Linked DNA regions of Coturnix japonica. The protein of the gene in region 1 binds, or shares a complex with, the protein of each later gene. Links are inferred from orthologs where the notes say so. Each region holds a gene or a part of one and is shown on either strand. Other genes may lie near its edges.

Region 1 (5,874 bases):
GTCTTTCAGGACATGCTGTGTTCCACATGCATTACAAAACACAGTTGTTCTGCAAATTGATAGGTTACTTAGGAATGTGAGCACCCATTTTAAACGTGTCTGTAGTCTGTATCATCAGTGGCTCACAAGGCTACTGCTCCAGATGCAGCAATAGTGCCATGTGATTGGGGAAACTCACTCTCCAATGACTGCTATCTTGTTCCAGCCCACATATTTCTACAGCACTACTGTGTACTGAATCAGAAAAAAAAACAACAAAACAAACAAACAAAAAAAAACCACTTTGACTAACAAACACCTGTACAAAAAGTGTCACTTCTTTAAGATGCAAAGAACCTTTTCCAAAGCCCTGTTCCAGGGGAAGCCAGAACTGGAATCAGGGCAGACCAGAATGGGCAGACTGAGCTGTGGAAGAAGAGTTCAAGAGGACTTCCACTCCTCTTTGCAGCCATCAGGAACACGTTTTGGGTCTGCTCATATCTTAGACATTTGTGCAAATCTGTCTGCACACTGGGTAGCCAACAGCAGGAGGAAAGAGCTGACCACAACACTTTTGGTGAGTTTGGATTGCAAGGAGAGAAAGTCAGCATAAAAACCTACTGAAAGCACTGGCTTCCCAGGTTCCCAAAAGGACTGTGGAAAACCACATTTCCCAACAGATGGAGGGAAGAGACGTGAGAGATTGTCTCCTTTCTCGGCAGATACCTTCCTGAAATCCTGGTTGAGAAACAAATCTTCCTCTATGGCACAGTTACACAGATAATTACAGCATCCTGCCCATGCCCTCAGTCCAGTCCCAAAGCTGATTAGATGCACTGCCATACGACCACATTCTTGCTGACAAGTCCAGCCTTGCTGGTGGACTCAGACACATGGTGTCAGCCCTGCGCTGGTGCAGCTTTATGGTCCTGCTCAATACTGGAAGATATATAGCCCTGGGGGTTTTGGAGCAGAAGGATCTGAGCTACTGATATGCTACTGCAAATGAAACACCACACATTTGCAGCTAATTGCCATGGACTGTTCCCAGCATACTTAATATAGAAGCACACAGGCCACCCCTCCTTAAATCACACTTTGATATAAAATGTGTCACTACCTAACTTTTAGCCTTTAAGCTAAGTCATACATGCCAGGGTGCTCCTGCATGTGCCTATGAAGATGTCATAGGGACCACAATGCCAGCTGAAGCTGCAAGATGGTGCTCTGTTGTTGGATGAGAATAATAGTGTTGTCTTTTTGCTGTTCTCCACATAAATGCTTTGCCCACACCAGCAACAGAGGTAGGCAGTTCATGTGTAGCAACTTACTTGAGTCAGACCTGCTCCGTGAGTGCCCCTCTGAGTTGGGGAGTGAGGTCTGTATCATAAGCTGTACTGCCTTGACCTCATCCTGTGCTTTCACCTTGCTCCAGCAGATAGCTTGGACATGCCTGGTGGATTTGGGAGCTCGAACGTCGCTCTGCTCAGGAAGGACACAACACACATAAGGACACAAGGCATGTGAGGACATAGCAACACACAACCCACTAAGCTCTCCTGCCCGGGAACTTCCACTTGTGCCTGTGTGGCAGCAGCACTCCGAATACAGTTTGTTTTGCAGAACCACTTAGCCAGTTCTCATGTATTTTTAGACTAGATAATTTTGGCTGATATTTTATGATTATGCTAAAAATGTGGCAGTGAGTAAGTGTTCCAATTCATGTACCACATGGAGGAGAGATCTGAAGGCCTTATTCTACAAATACAAAGAATATTCTACTTGTCTTATAATGTGAACACCAGATAGACAGTGCCTTCTGCTAAAAGAAGTAGGTATTTTTGCAGGAGAACACTCCACATTTGCTTTCTTGGAGTATCAATCTCTTCCTTTGGAGGAGCCATGCTGCCTGCAATTCTGAAAGGCTGAAAGAAACTTGGAGCAACAGAAAACTCTTGTTCTTTACTTCTGAGACAGACCCAAAAAAGGTGGAAGATATTTCCTCATCACTCCATCAGTGCTTGATTCCTTGCCCAGGACAGAGCTGGTAGCCTCACTGTGAAGCACAGCATCACTCTTCGTAAAACACTTCTGTAAGCAACCACAAGTTCTTTTTAAATTGTGGCTGAATTGTCTTTGAAATTTGGTTTTACTCTTTTACTTTTGACTTTTCATTCTCTTTCTTCTCCTGTTGCTCCTCAGCTCTCCTAATTAGCACTTCGCTGAAAAGGTAAAAAAACCCACAGCCACCAAATGTGAGCACACTGGCTGTTACACTTCAAGTAAAAGGAATTTTTGTCCTTGAGAAAAAGAGCCATCCCAGGCAGCTGCCTGAGGACACAGACTTTGTACATCTCATTCAGCTTTTGCTCCAAACTTTAGATTTCACAATTAATTACAGGGTGCTGAGACTTGATTACAGGACATAGCAGAGCTGTGGGGATGCTATTGCCACAGCTCCCATACAGGTTATCTCAGATAAACATGTTGTTTCTTAGCACTTACCTCATATGTAACAATGCATTCTACAGACTGGTGTTCTTCGATCCCCACAATCCACTTCTCCATAACAAACGGTGGCTGAAAAGAACACAGCGGTGATTTATGAGGTGCTCATCATCTCCTGACTTGTCCCTGAAACACCCTAAAAGTACTTTGTAACTTGTGCCTTTTCTCACCCTTTTCCATATTGCAAGCATCTAAAAATGTTATGGGACAAACATACTCTGAAATTATTTACCTCCTTGTTTACAGAATGAAACAGATATTTCTATATATAACTGTAGGTATGACAGCATGGAATATTTTCATGGGGGCATTGCCCTTCTTCAATTTTACACACATGGAATAAAGATTCCTGGAGACAGTCCCTGACAGATAATCAAATCCTGAAGTGAGTGCTAATGCTACTGTATCTGAAACTATGACATTTAACTTAAAGTTAAAAAAAAAAAAAACATTTTCTTCTTTTTTTCTTTCTCTTTCTCCATTTTCTTTTTTCTTTTTTTTTTTTTTTTTAATGGAAGATGGAATTTCTGGACATGAAACAGAAAGCTATTTTGCAATGACATAGTAACAACATTAGAATTACAACAGTGAAGAAATCCTTATCTGCAACAATAGTCTTAGAATGCCTATGACATTAAATACAAGAATTCTTTCTGTCTAAGACAAATTTTCCCTAATATTCTGTTGAAAGTATGACTTCCAGTTTTTCCTTCAGGAAAAAAAAAAAACAAAACAGCCATAATTTTGCAACAAAAATCCACAGTTAAAGGCACTCAGGAGGGTTTTTTTTGTTGTTTTGTTTTGTTTCTGTTTTATATTTAAATCGGTGCACATTAGAGAAGCATTCTATCTGGTAATAAAAATGTGTATTTTTTCATTTATGATATTAACTGCTATTAAGTAGAGCTCATTAATAAAAACAATCAATTAAAATAACAGCAAACAGAATGTCCAGTGCATTCTGTGCTTTAACAAACCTTCTGTTGCTTATGGTAAAAGCAGTCTAAGTGCTGGCTGGTAAATGCCTACAGGCAGGTTTACTCAAATAGGGTAAATGCCCAGTGGCACTGAATTGCAGATGTGCAGGGCTGTATGCCCGTGATCAACATGTTGAGGGTTTCAGTGTTTGGAACCCATATCTGCATGAAAAAGGGAGTTTTAAAAGCATGTAAAAGTTCTAAAACCATGCCCCAACCTCCCCCCCCCCCCCCCCCCCCCCTAAAAAAAAAAAAAAAAAAAAAAAAAAAAGAGAGAGAGAAAAAAAAAAAGCTCAGACAAATCACATGAAGTTTCAAATTGGAACATTTAAATCACTTTCTCCTCCTGAAAAGGAACATACGTTTTTAACATTCTCATCTTTAAAAGGGGTAATAAATTCAGATGCTATAACATGGAATTAAAACTAGAAAATATAAATTAGTTTCTTTTCTTGTTTTTCTACTGGTAACATTATTGTCAGCTTAAAAGAGAACCAAAATAGCTAACTCTTATTATGATACACATCTGTTTAAAATGTGCATTTTATTTAAAAGCTGTCAAGAGACTGAGCTTCTGCAAGCACAAAAGTCGACTGCTGTGGTATTTTAATGTCTTTGTTTGAGATCTGTGAATTCGTGAAAGCTTTAAGGCTGTAAATACCTTTGTCATCTTTAAAATCTCTACATCAGGTAGGTTAGTGTTGAATGTCACATCTTTTATGTAGGTTATTGCAATTTCATCCCCGTCCATCTCCATGTACATTTTCCATTTACAGTCCTATGAATAATAATAATAAAAAAGAATGCTGGACTGTTAGAATACAAAAAAATCGAAATCAAAATATAAAAAACCAAAGACTAGCCAAACCCAGCCTAGCCCTCACTGTATAGTGGAAAAAACTAAAACCAGCAACGACGATGAAGGCAAGGAACATATACATGCTTTAGTATATGCGTTTTACAATGAGTGTGGTTAATAGAAATCCCTTGCGTTTTCTGGCTCGCTTCCTGCTCAGGTGCCTCTGAGAGACAGCAGCCACCTTGGCAGGTCTGACTGTCCTCAGTGGTCCCCTGGAGGGCCCCAGGATGGCAGCAGTTCACCCAGCAGCACAGCCTGCCCATATGAGCAGTGATGGTGAGGCACAACCCATGGAAGCCATCACCTGGAGCCACAGCCAGAGCTGGCAGCCAGCCCTCAGGGCATCTTCCTGGTGAACCTGGGAACTAAGGACCAGAGGGTGTGTGCAACACTTTCAGGACAGTTGCTCTAATAATGGGCAGGAGGATGAGCTGGTTAATGCAGCTCAATTCCTTCAGATCCTGAGCGTCCAGTGAGGCACTGAGCATCCTCAGCTCCTCTCACCTCCAGTAGCACTAGTAATTTTAAGGGAGCTCAGCTTTGAAACAGCAAGTCTAATAACCAAAGCAGTGAAAGGTATCTTTGAATGATCCCATGGGATGAACATAGCACTGGCACCTTGCATGGGTGTGAGCCTGCAAGAGGCTGATGGCTCTGGCTGCATCCTGCAGGACATATCAGGTAGGTTGAGCACTGGGACCAGTGTCCCTGCCAATGAACAGGGAGGCTCCTGCAGGGGACAGCAGATGTGCAGCAGACCATAGCAGGTGATTTGGGGATTTGATGCTGTCCAGTGCACTGAGCTCCTCCAGAAGTCTGTTCCCTGAGGGACAAGGGGGTTGACACCAAGCAGGGCATATCTATCTGTGTGCAGCCTGGATGGGGACTGCCCGTGGCAGAGGAGGAGCCCCTCCAGGTGTGCCCGAGGGTCAGGAGGGTCCCTACATGCCGATGGCCAGGCAGCTGCGGTCTTGGTATTCGCAGGAAGCAGTCATCTCCTCAGGGCTGCTCAGAAATGCAAGAATTTTCAACAGGAACACAGATGGCCGCTCAGGGCCAAGGGCTGGCATAAGCAGTTATTTGCACACACAAATGTACAGCAGCCTAAGAAATAACCATCCGTACATGCGATTATCTGCTAGTGTTTGCACGTGCATCTCTCATAAATGTAACACAGGAGCTCAGCCCTCAGAAGTCTCAAAGCTTTCAATCAGGGATTGAATTGGCAATTCCAAGATAAAAGAAAACCAGAGTATAATCATTTCCAAATCGTGGCAACAAATGACGCTTAAGAAACCATTTGGCCCAGTGTGTCCATCTGTCCCCACTGAAAGCGCATGATTTTTATGAGGAGAGTGGACATGGGAGTTGGTTTTAGCACCACCATATCCTGGCACTCAGGACACTTGTGTGGGGTTCGCATGCACTGAGCTCAGCTTCCAGACTTGCCATCATTTTCCTGAATGACCCACGAAGACACAAAAGTCACTCCGTGCCTCCATCTCCTAACTACAGACTGCATAACACTGCATGGCCTTTTTCTATCCTGTT
Region 2 (5,874 bases), on another chromosome or scaffold:
GTAGCTATAGGGAGTGCTCCAAACCACCCACAGGAGCCAAATGACACAGTGAGGGCAGACAGATGGACACTGCACTTCCACCCAGGGCAATCCAATGTCCCTGTGGTGGAAGTGCTGCCAACCACATACCAACATGCACCTGACAGCAATGGGCACTCATGTTGGAGTGCCACCAATAGCACTTCCAACACCCACTTCCAAGAGTGCCCTACTTGAAATCCAGCCCAGCCCACTGCCAGCATGCTTGGGCACCTGCTGCTGCAGCATGGAAAGGGACCTGCTGCCTCCTGCAACAGCTGGGCCTTGCACCACCTCAACCAGCCCACTTTGGTTGTAGGAAACAAAGGTGGTTTGAGACAGTTTTGTGCATTCAGAGGACAAGCGCAGACCCAAGTTGCTGTGCAACAAGAGCCCCTCACCTCTCGGAATAGGGCTCCATAGAAAGTGACGGTGTAGAAGCAGTCAACCGTCCTCATGGAGATATCCAAGTCCATCAACAGCCTCTTCTGCTCCTGAGTGTTCACTGTGGCACGAATCCTCTGAGAAATATTAAGGAAAAAAAAAGGTTTTGATGTAGGTGGAGTTCTGTAGCCAACGCATCACCCCAGAGATGCCCAGATGACCTCTTACAAACAGCACCATAATGAATGACACCACCTAAGTGCCACATTGGGCTGCAAGGGGACACAGGAGGCTGCCAAATCCAACAAGCCTCCATCTCTGTCCCCATTCTGCCCCACCAGGAGGAAGCCGTTCTCACCTTCACGGCCATGATGGTGCCACTCTGAGCATGCCTCACTTTCTCCACCACACCATAAGCTCCCCGGCCCAGCTCTGAAATAGTCACCAGGTCATCAGCTTCCACCTCGAAGTTCTGTAAGGAAATGGATAATAACAGTCAAACAAAAATCAGGCTGGAGCACATTTACTGTAAAGGCAAAGTTCACTGCTTGCACTTCAGCCACACAGAGCATGCCCAAACCACTGCACCTACAGGATCACAGCAGCCCACCGTGCTTAGAACAGATGCATGTATTTTTGGCTCCTTGGGGCATATTGAATACCACTTTTAAGCCAGAGATTGAGATATACCAAAGGGCACAGTGTCACTGGAAGAGGCCCAAGGCTCAGTGCCTCTCTGCCAGTAAGTTTCTGCACATCCCACGGACAAGTTTCCCCCAACACACATTGCCCTGTAATTGTCTGCTCTGCTGGGCAGGGCATATGCTGCTGGAGTGAGACATGGGCTATTTTTGGAGGCTGCATTCATCGCTCTTAATAAGTTACAGACCTTCTTTCAACCAGGCAGGACTTCATCCAGCCTGCAGCTTCCCTCCGGTTCCAGGGAACAAAAATAACACCAGGATGCCAAACTGACCCAGTAGCAGCAAAGGGTGGGAAAAGCACCATGCAGCATTAGAAGCAGCACTGCACCCAGAGCAGAAGGGCAGCAGCATGCTGAGAGCCAGGGCTACAAGGCTAGTGGCCATGCAAGCCACCAGCCCTACTAATTTGGACAAGATTGGGATGGTGGGAAGCTGAGGGAGGTCAGGGGCTGAGCTCAGCAGGAAGCTGTGCTGCATAGCACAGGGAAGTGGCAACCTGTCCCAGGTGGGACAGAAGATCCAATAGAAGATCCAATGGGGCTACAGGGGGTTCATGCAGCCCCCACCTCACTGCCCTGGGCAGAGGCACAGTGTGGGCTTACAGCTCCTGCAGGGGCCTCCAGGAAGGACCTAGTGGTGCTTTTCAGGACACGTGTTCTAGAATTGTTCCAGGGCATTGTGTTTGTGTTCCTGGCATTTACCCACAGGCTTCCCCAGACGCTGGCAGTTCCCAGCACGCTCCAGGAACCAGCACAGCCCTGCCCAGATGATGAACCAACAAAACCCCACACTGCACCCCTTACCCTCTGCTTCAGATCAAATGGACCCATAGCCACCCTTCATCTCACAACCCAAAGCTGCCCATACACCCACCACTCCTCCATCCCATGTTGTGTTGTTCTGAAGCACCCAGAGCAAACCTGAGCTGCAGATCTCAGGGCAGGCAGGGCACAGATGCAGAACCCCTCGGAACAATGCACAGCAGGGAGGGCACAGCCTGCAGAGCTGCCCCCAGGCTGCAGCTCTCCCATTGCACACACTGTGCCCAAGCTGCTGCATACAGCCTCTCCCCAAGCTACCAGTACACACAACAACAGCTAGAACACAACACCAGCAACAGGGTTGATCCCTGCACCCAGCCCAGGCTGCTTCTCTCCCCTCAAAACCTAAAACCTTGCACCAAGGATGGGACTGACCCCACACCATATTTTTAGGTCACTTGCAGCCCCAGGAGAGCCCGTAACAAGAGAATGAAATAAAAGAGAGGCGGCAGCTATTTCTAGCAGCGTTTTTCATCAGGCAGCTTGGAAAGGATTTGGAGAGAAGCTCTGAGCCCAGCTTCTGGTGGAATGCCAGCAGCAATAGGGACAAAGGGGACGTGGGCTGGGACAGCAGGGCACAGCCAGGCTGGGTAAGAGTGAGGAGGCTGCCAAAGGAGCAGGATCCCATTAAGGACAAAGCCTCACCCCACAAATGCCTGTCCCCCTGATGCTCTCAATACCAGCACAAACCCGCAGCCAACTGTGGAAAGGTCCTGCCTGAGGACACCTCATCCCCTTCCAAAGATGCATCCCAGGAGGCTGCACCAGGAGGACACGCTGGGGCTTAAAGGATGCTTGGGATTGCAAAGATCCAACCTGACAAGGCAGCATGATCCATACTACTCCCATACAGGAGGCAAGCAGACTTGGAAACAAGAACATTGACACGTACTTTGTCTCCAATGGTGATGAAGGTTCTGGAGTCCAGGTTCCTTGGTGGCCTGAAAGGAGAGAAGGAATCAGAAGGAAGCACAACCTCAAAACTCCCCTCCTGCAGTGCCAGGTTTCATGCGCCCCCAGGTGCTTTCAGCCACTGCTTCCCACAGTGCGTTGTTATGGGTGCACACCAGCCCCCTCCAAATGCTCCCAAAGGCTTTCATCGAGCCACCACCACCCACAGAGCCAGCAGGAGCCCAGCAAGCAGCAAGGTGAGGCTGCATCAAAGCTACGAAACCGACCCCATGCGGGGAGAGGAGCAGCTGTCGTGTTTTGACAGGCAGGTGTTGTAACAGCACGGCCACGTCGCCCCAAACACGCCTAGGAAACAACAGGTAATTCCTCTGCACTGAGTCATTTGTGTACTCTTGACAGCCTGTTCCAGGCAGCCTGGCATGCGGAGCAGCCAGCAGCGTCACACTTTGCACAACACCGTGTAGGCAAGTCTTCCTTTATGGCTTTTTTCCCTCCTCATGGCTACCCATTCCCTGCTATTGGCAGTACAGGGTTTAAGGCACACACTGTACTTCTGCCCCTTCTGCACTGCTCCTGTGCTCAAGTCCTCCAACATTGTCAGGTTGGGAACTGGGCAATCTGCTCAGCATCTTCATTCCCATCAGAGCACTGCAGCAGCTTCAAGGAAGTGCTCAGGCTCACAGCAAAAGCATTGGCACTGTGCAAATATTTGCAATGTGCCTTGAAAAGTGCAGAGAAAAGGAATGGTGGGGGCCTGGAACCAGTCTGAACAGGAGTTGCATGCAAGCACCTTGCAAACCACAGCTGACATCTGCTCCAGGGGAAACTCGGACACCAGAGAGCCACAGCCATGGAGAGAGAGAGCTCTGCATGCAGGACTGTCTGCACACCAGGCTGTCAACAGGGAGCTCCCGGCTCCAGGCAATCTGCCCTGCCTGGGGATTCAGAGATGTGCCCCCAGAGAGGGATTCACTGCTCCCCCAGAGCTCTGTTGCTCTCCAGAGAGAGCAGAGCTGAGCAGTGGAGATGCATCATAGAGGAGGAATTTCAGCCATCTGCTTTTTGTCAAACCTAGCGCTACCACCCTGGTCCTGTGTCCTCTCCTTGCCCCCAACATAACAACATACCAAGCAGCAGCAAACAGGGCACAGAGAAATCCCAGTGCCTGAGATGCAGCCAGGCACCAGCCCCAAGCACAGCAGAGGGGAGCAACAAGGCTTCTACATCCTCCTTGCACCAACATGGGCAGCTCAGTGGGTTCACACACAGGCCAAAGCACGGGGCAGGGGCTGCTCTGCTGCACCCAGCACCTTCATCCCTGCTCCAGGTCCTAGCCCTGCAGGCAGCTCCCAGAGGCACACACAATCTGTGTGTGTGCACATGTGCAATTCCTTCTCATAACTGAGAATCCAGAGCTCCAGTTGAAAAACCCCCACAACCAGCTGACGTGGTAACACCTCTACACCCACATGGCCTGAGACAGCTCACTACAGCTCCTAGAACTGGCTGCAGGAGCAGGTACTCACGTGGTGTTGACAGGGGGCTGCTTGATGGGAGGACATGTTATCCTCAGCTTCTTCTTGCCCTTCGCTGCAAGAGAAGATGCACACATAAGCAACGGGCATTTTTATTTATTTATTTATTAAACTTTCCTTCCTTTTGGCACAATTCTGCAGCTCTCACACCCTGCCCTGCTCCCAGCCACCCCCACAGCACTCTTTACCCCCTGTGGCCATTAATGGTTCCTTTTCTGGGGGGATTTCAATTGCTGGCATTTAGAAGAGAGGGTGAAGCTGCTCTGTCTGTTGGGCACTCACCTGGTTTGTGTGGCTCCAGGGATCCCTTGGAATCTGGAAGAGAACAGGGAGACATCAGGTCAGTGCTTACACTCCAAAGCACCTGATACAAAGCATACACCCCTTATGGTGCCAAACAGGAGCACAGGAACATGCCATGGGGCAGCTGGCACCCAGCCCTGCCCTGCACAGCCACCAGATGTCCTCATGCCACTGGCTCTGCCCAGGGCAATGCCAGCACCCCAATGTGCTCCCAGCAGATCCCACTTTGGGAAGCACTGATTTATTTCTCAGCACGCTCCCAGCTGGGCAAGGAAGAGACAGATCCTGTGGGTATGCTGGAGGAGGCAGGGGAGCAGCCAGCCCTGCTCTGTGCCATCAGGACAACGGCCACCAAACCTCATGTACAGCAACTGGCAACTCTGACCCTGAGAGGGAACAACTCATGTGCCACTGAGGGGAACCACAGGGCAGGAGCCACAACACTAGATAAGCACGCACAGGTTGAGACCTTGCACTGAAACAGAACGGAGCTGGAGCCCTGCTCTGCTGCCCCACAGGGGTTGCTGTGGTTTGCAGCACCAGACTCAGAGCCCTGCAAGTCCTCTGTGTGTCTCAGCACCTGCTCCATGAGGCTGCTCCCAACCCCATACACAGCTGGGATGGGACAGGGAGCTATAAATAGCCCTGCCCTGCAAAATACCTGGCTGTGCAAACACGAAGTGCAGCCAAATGGAAGATGATGCCCTCTAGCTCAGCAGCACCTTCCCTTCCTGCAGCCAGGGCAGAGCACAGAGCTGGGACATGGGGCTGCAGCTTCCTCCTGCAGCCAGTGAGAGGGAGATCTCTGCAGAGCAGTCAATCCCATCCCAAGACGCAGACAAGGGCGTGCATGCGTCATCCTGTGGATGCAGAGCTGCTGGATGCCCCCAAACCAACCTCACATTGGGCTCAGCAACTCCTGCTCACTCGATGCATCCCACGCCCTGGGCAGCACCAACCAAATACCCTCCATCTGCCTTCCCCCTTCACACAGCACAGCCCTCACACGAAGCCCTGAAATGCCCCCCATCCTGGCTGCTATTTTACAGCATCTGTTTGCTCTCCCTCTCCCCAATTGCCATAGTAACCCCCAGCAGGAGCACAATGCTCCCTCTGTGCAGCTCCCTGACAGCGCTGGGTTGGAGCACAGCAGTGACTCACACAGGGGGAGCAATGTCCACACTGTGCCAGAGGCTG
Region 3 (6,412 bases), on another chromosome or scaffold:
CAGACATTTGTGTACAGCCACCTGAATTCATGCAACTTGCTGAAGGTTCAGTTTTATAATTATATTGATTCCTTATGAAGAAAAGAAAAAATCCCTCCTGCATCATTTCCACAGGTGATGCTGCCTGCCAGCTGCGTCCTGTCTGCAAACAAAACCATATGTCGCCATTCAATTACAGACACAGAGGAGTTTCATTTGGCTGCAAGTGATGCAAAGGAGATGTAAACACGCTTCGTGTTGGCCTGGCCGTGCTATCTTTGCCTATGAAAGACCACTGGCAGGTCTGCGAGTCCCCTGCTGCAACCAGTTGCATGCAGACAGATTTAACAGCACCAGAAAGAAATGCAACTTCATGACACTCTCCTTCCCCAGTACAGGATGGAAAAGGAACGAATTCAACTGAAAAATCAGCCCTATATGTTAAATGCTGTTGGAGAGCTCAGCACTGCAGCCTTCCCCATGCAGCAGGCCCCACCAACAGAAGGCCAAGAGTTGCTACAGCAACAGCTTAATAACTGCATGCAGAGCCTCGCTGGAACGAAAGCTAACAGAGCGTCACTGATTTAATTGACTGATGATTTAATAAAACGCTCTGGATATAGATTAACTTGCTTTGCTTAATGTAGCTTGGCTTCCTGGTGGCAGCAATGGACCCATGCTCTTAATGGACCAAAGCCCAGCCTGCAGCACAGGACCATGGTTTTTGGGGCTCCCACCTTACCACCCAGACCCTGGAAGGAGATCAAGCCATGTGGGGTAAACCAAAGCAGCAACATCCCCCGGGCCCAGCAGAGGAAGGCAGCAATCACTCTCAGCACATACATCTGGTTTCTTCACTGCTATTGCTAGGTATAAAAACCACCACAAAACTCAAATCACTGTGGTTATCAACCCTACGCTCCTCATGCCCAATTTGAAAGAAACAAAGACGCTGTAGAAGTTGAAACAACAGAGAGTAAAAGGATTATTTACTAGCTCTAATTATACAAACTGATCTCATCCTCTTGTCATAAGCCTCTTTCCTGTGTCCGGAATCTATTTGTGTATCATAAAGACCAGTCTTCTGTAAATGTACAAGGGTCATCAGCACAGGGCCATTAATTTCACATATTACAATACATACATATTGTCAACCAATCCACTTGTAACAAGATATAACTGCCCTCACTTGTCAATTGGTACTTTAAAGTATTACTAATGGCAAACAGTAATTAAGATACCAATTCCTAAAACCCAAGCAGCGTTTTTAAAGTAGCTACCACGCAGCTGTAATAAAATTAAAAGCAGAGGCTCCATCTTCAGCTCAAGTAGCTACATCCTAATAAAGTTAAGGACTAACAGTCAACTTGAATTATAGTGCAGCACGTACGTAAAAGCACATGTATGTTTATACTCAAATCAAGTCCTCCAACAGGTTCTGGGGCAGCTGTCTCACGTAGGCATGAAACATTTATCTCAGGCTCAAGTATTAACCGCCAGAAATCCTTAGCAGACCTTCTAGGTGCCTCTTCAAATGATAACTTCTAATACACTGCATAGCTTGAATACACACGATGGGAGTAAATTCTAGGGAAGTCCTCAAAGATAAAACACTTTGTTTGTAAAAGCAATTATTGACTTTAGATACTTAGGGGAACTTCTCAAGATGCAGCAGTGTTCAAAGGACAAGTACATTCAGCATTCTCTGCAGAAACAGAGGCCATCCCAAAGCTGAGTGCTCAAAATAGAAGGAACAGGACTACAGTTATCTTTGAAATATGAATAGATATGCTATGCAGCACCTATAGCGCCTCCAGATGCACAAAAGCCAGCTGAAAGACAGCAGGAAGGGAAAGCAAAATTAGAAGTTGTTTTCTATAAGTAATCTGTTCCTTTCAACTCAGGCAACCATAGGAAAAAACATCCTAGTGATTCACGTACTTTATTTAGGTAGACACAGAATCAGCTGGTTTTACTGGAGCATCACATCTGAGCCAAACTCAACACTGACCCATTCTCAACAACTAATTTAGTCCTTTAGTACTCATAGCCAGGGAGAGAAAGTTAGACATAATATTAAGTGCACAGCATCCATGGATGGTACCACAAAAAGCAAAAAACAAGGCAACAAAGTATCACATCTCTAAAGCAGAGATAAGAAAATACACATTGAAATCTGAAAATTAAATTAAAAACAAAATCAAACTCTAAAAGGCACAAATTCTACTCAATATCACCACCTCATCCATCCCCTTCATCCAATCCCTTTAGCAACCTGCCCTTAAGCAATAAAGCAAGTTTTGCAAACAGACATCCAGCTTTGCACCTGAAAACATTGCTTCCAGCAGCCCTCACAAAACAAGCTTTCAGGTTGGCCCCCTTAGGAGCCCAATGGGTTAATGCCCACAGGTTGCAGCCACACCAGTAAATCATTTATTACCCCAGCTCAGGGACAAGCAGCTACGCAGAACCAAGAGCCCACGCTGTGCAGCTGTTCATCAGCCAGGCATTTCTGCACCATTATAACACGGGATTAAATTCAGAGAGTAGAAATGCATCCCTTTATTATTAGTATTTCTTGTTTGCTTGTTGTTTTTTTTCTTATTTGTTTTTCATCAAGTTATGCAGCTATTTTAAATGTTACAGAATTCATTAACATTTAGTTCATTAAGGAGTAACCACGAATGAAATGAAGGGATCATCATTACAAGCACAGGTAGGGAAATACTGGACCAGCAGGCAAAAAGAGAGAAAGCTTTGAAGAATAAGGAAAGCTGTTCCTAAACTCAAGTTTAGTCTTTTTTCCAGACCTATCAGAGAACACACACCTGGAAGCAGCCATGGTGCAGATGTTGGTTCTGAGGGCCAGGTGAGCAGCACTTGCTGCCTGCAGATGGAAACCTCTGCAGCCGGCACTGCTCACTGCATGCTCCTGTACTCCAGAATTAACAGGAAGTTCAGAAACTGCTAGGAAGGGTGATGAGACACTGGAACAGACACTGGAACATCTTGCCCAGAGCTGTAGGTGCCCCATCGATGGTGGCCAGACTGGATGAAGCCCTGGACAGCCTGATCTGGTGGCAAATCAAACAGCAAATTGCTTTTCTTCTACAGAAGCTCATGTAGTGCATTCCTCTAGCCATGCACAGCACATCTAGCTAACGGTCTGAGCTCATGATGGATGCAGAGACCAGCCCTCTGCAAGCCACATCCTCAAAGGAATGCTTTCCTAATAAAGAAGGTTTCATTCATAATTTCACTCATAATTCTAAGACTTATTATTATTTTTCTTTCTCAAACTCTGCAAATAGGTACAACGCCCCTACCCAACCCATAAGAAAAGGAAACCAAAATAATCACAACAAATACTTGTCTCCCAAGCACAGCAACAGTTTACTATTAATCCACCCAGCTGTTGCTACAGCACTGCCAAATGATTTGGGCCCAGCACTGTTAACCACACTGCTTTGCACCAGTCTTCTTGGGCACAGCCATGGAAAATGTGAGACGCTGCAGAAGGTAAACAGGTTACACACAAAAGAGGAGAAAACAGCCCTCTGACAGAGCCCAAGCTCTGCAAGCACCCGTTTCCAAAGAAGACTCCCACAGTTTCTTTGCTTTAGGCTAACAGTTTTTTTTCCAACCTAAGTATTTTTGGAGAAAATGAGTATAAATGCATGAAACACAACATCTCCGAACAGTCCTACAGTAGCTACATGTCATCTTGCAAGTCAGATCCATCCCCTGATCTGGTTCACCACCACTGAGAGGTTATGAGAACTGAAAATACAACACTGAACGAACACCTGGAGCACTGCAGGACAGGCCCCCATCAGGCCCACAAATAGCCATGGTCCCTGGGCAGGAGCCCTGTGTGCCCCAACTCCTATACCCAGCAACTTCTGAAGAAACCCTCGGGCTGAGAACACCACAACCACCTGTCTACCCCCAGGGACAAGTGCACAGTGCCTTAAAATAATAGGGAAGAGCAGCTGGTGCCTAAAGTGCTATAGACTGTTTCACACCATGGCATACGCTCAATGGAACAATAAGAGCATGTACAACTGCACTATGAATCATGCTGCGAGTTCACTTGTGAGAGATAAAGTCTCAAATGTAATTCTTCACCAGCACCTTCAGCACTCTTCACACCATTCTATTTTCCTTTTGTCAAATTTGCTTATCACATACTTAGATATCCACATCTGCTCTTGCCATCCAGCAGGTAAGCCAGGCAAACCCATCCCCCAGAACAATTTGCCTCAGCATTCACTTGTACCCAAGAGCTGTCAAAACAAGTGACCTTACTTGAACTGCATGAAGCAGTACCAATAGTCCAAGATGTCCTTCCAGGCCTTCCCCCAGTGAGCATAGAGCAGCAGAGCAGGACTCAAGGTTCAGCTCCTGCAAGAGAAGAAGGAGGAGTCACCGGGATGCAACAAGGCCTGTACTGGGAACATACACCTGCCCCATACCTGGGGTATGGAAACCTTCCACCAACCTATGTCTTGTGGGCAGATAGGAGACAGCAGCCTGCTCCCAGGATTCTGTGAAGGAAGCATGAAACCCATCTGTGGGACTGAGCTTGATCCTGCCCTGTCCCCCTCCACAGTACAGTTGGATTGGTATCTGTCACGCTTAACTCGAAGATGAAATCCTGCAAATTCATCCCCCTACACCTATCTCAACCACTTCAAAGTAGTCGGGAACCCTCATTATCACAAGGCATGTTGGAGAAGACAAAAGCACCCAACACAAGTTGGTGGCCAGTGAGAATCTGTAGATGAAGCCCATAATCTACCAGCAAGCCTCTGCCAAACCCTGATGGGGAACCATGCACTTCTCCACAGGCAGATTTCCTTCCCCAGCCCTAGGGGTAAGCCTGCTCTATGGAGCACAACAGGAAAGAACAGTTAAAATAACCGAATGGCAAGTCAAGAAAGAATACAGGCTGTGATTTTGTGTATTAAATGTTGCGTGAGAGATTGTATGGCCTAAATGACAGTCACTGGGGCACCTCTGGCCATCATTTCATTACCACACCAGTAGTGTTTGTGGGTAGGCACACAGCACCCAATGCAAGCTCAATGCATCGCCTGCTCCTATACTGTTTAGTTGGGAAAATGCTTGTAATGAGGGATCTCACACATCCTGATCCAATCTGCACAGCTCAAAGCACAATTACAAGCAGGAACAATGGCAAAGCTTGCTAGCAGCTGGAAAATCAATTGTGCTCCATGAATTGGCTGGGGAAGGTAAAAGCTGAGAGACAGAGCATTGCAAAACAAGCCTTCATCCAACCACAAAGACACAGCAGAACCTGAACTCTGCCACACCAGTTGTGCACAAGGTTTTTTGAGAGGGCTGTTACTAAAACTTCCCTTAATTCTGCTGGTGGGCTCCTGCTGAGGGATAGGGACAGCACTTTGTGAGGCACTATGGGGCACTGAAGGCAGAAAAGGGTTATTTTTCCATAGGCACTTCAGCACAGACCATTTCAAATTGGAAAAGGGAAAAAAAGCTTCCCCTTGTTCCTCTTGAAGCAGTGAGGAAATGAGGGAAAAATAAGAAGTCCATGACTCCTTATTCTGTTGTCACATTTCTAAATTACATCTCCATGGCAAAGTACTGAGCTGAAAGAACTACCTGAACTCTCCAGTACCAGGCAGAGGAAGCAAACGTCCTTTGGATTCATTAACCAGTAAAAACCTCCCTCACAGTCAGAAGCAAACAGACTGGAACTTCCCTCCAGCATTCCTGCAGAGCTGCTTTCAGGACTGCATGTTAAAGAGTGGTTACAGTTTGATAAGGCAACGATTAACTACATTAAGTAAGAAACATTAACCCAAGGCTCCTGGTAGTGATCCCACGTTGATCGGAGAGAGTGATGATCAGCAGCTCTCTCCAAGGCATACACTACAACAGTGCAGTGGTTTCACTTGTTTGTGAGACTGATAACTTGGCTTTCAATACCACGCAGAGCTTCAGCGAGCTTTACTGCTACTCCTATAAGCTGGCAAGCATTACGGGCAGAGATAACACTGGTAAATACACAGTGAGTGTGCAGTGAATCACTGCAGATTTCTCATCATACCCATTAAGGAATGAGGGTGTGTATATGGAGGCACACATGCAAAACTCACTAGGATGTTTATGACTTGGAAAGTATTAGCAAGTGGAGAAAATCAACCAGCTTTGCAAAAAGACATTACTCTCCTGGGGCTTTTTGTTTGAGTTTATTCTGGAGGAGTTTTCAGCTTAGCCCAAGAAGGTGCAAAGAATATTAAGAAGTCTTATATTTCTATTTCTGTATGCAAAAAGTCTGCACGTTCAGTAAAGGTGTCCAAATCAAGGAATTAACCACCCAAAGGGTTCTCCTTTCCTCATGGAGATGCATCAAGATAACTCCTGAATGTATAAGTAGACTCTTTTT

Evidence for each region.
Region 2: MAP3K20 (region 1) and MAP2K3 share a complex: the UniProt entries of both Homo sapiens proteins name them as parts of the signaling complex. The link is inferred for Coturnix japonica from reciprocal best matches to the Homo sapiens genes MAP3K20 and MAP2K3.
Region 3: MAP3K20 (region 1) and AKAP13 share a complex: the UniProt entries of both Homo sapiens proteins name them as parts of the signaling complex. The link is inferred for Coturnix japonica from reciprocal best matches to the Homo sapiens genes MAP3K20 and AKAP13.

What each region holds. Positions count from the first base shown.
Region 1 is NC_029522.1:15,480,322-15,486,195, forward strand, and holds part of MAP3K20 (mitogen-activated protein kinase kinase kinase 20), read right to left. Parts: intron 4,243-5,874; coding exon 4,126-4,242; intron 2,560-4,125; coding exon 2,485-2,559; intron 1,462-2,484; coding exon 1,311-1,461; intron 1-1,310. UniProt on the Homo sapiens protein: Stress-activated component of a protein kinase signal transduction cascade that promotes programmed cell death in response to various stress, such as ribosomal stress, osmotic shock and ionizing radiation.
Region 2 is NC_029529.1:4,541,327-4,547,200, forward strand, and holds part of MAP2K3 (dual specificity mitogen-activated protein kinase kinase 3), read right to left. Parts: intron 4,690-5,874; coding exon 4,657-4,689; intron 4,430-4,656; coding exon 4,366-4,429; intron 2,869-4,365; coding exon 2,820-2,868; intron 875-2,819; coding exon 761-874; intron 540-760; coding exon 420-539; intron 1-419. UniProt on the Homo sapiens protein: Dual specificity kinase. Is activated by cytokines and environmental stress in vivo. Catalyzes the concomitant phosphorylation of a threonine and a tyrosine residue in the MAP kinase p38.
Region 3 is NC_029525.1:12,662,481-12,668,892, forward strand, and holds the start of AKAP13 (A-kinase anchor protein 13), read right to left. Parts: upstream 4,397-6,412; 5' UTR 4,288-4,396; intron 1-4,287. UniProt on the Homo sapiens protein: Scaffold protein that plays an important role in assembling signaling complexes downstream of several types of G protein-coupled receptors.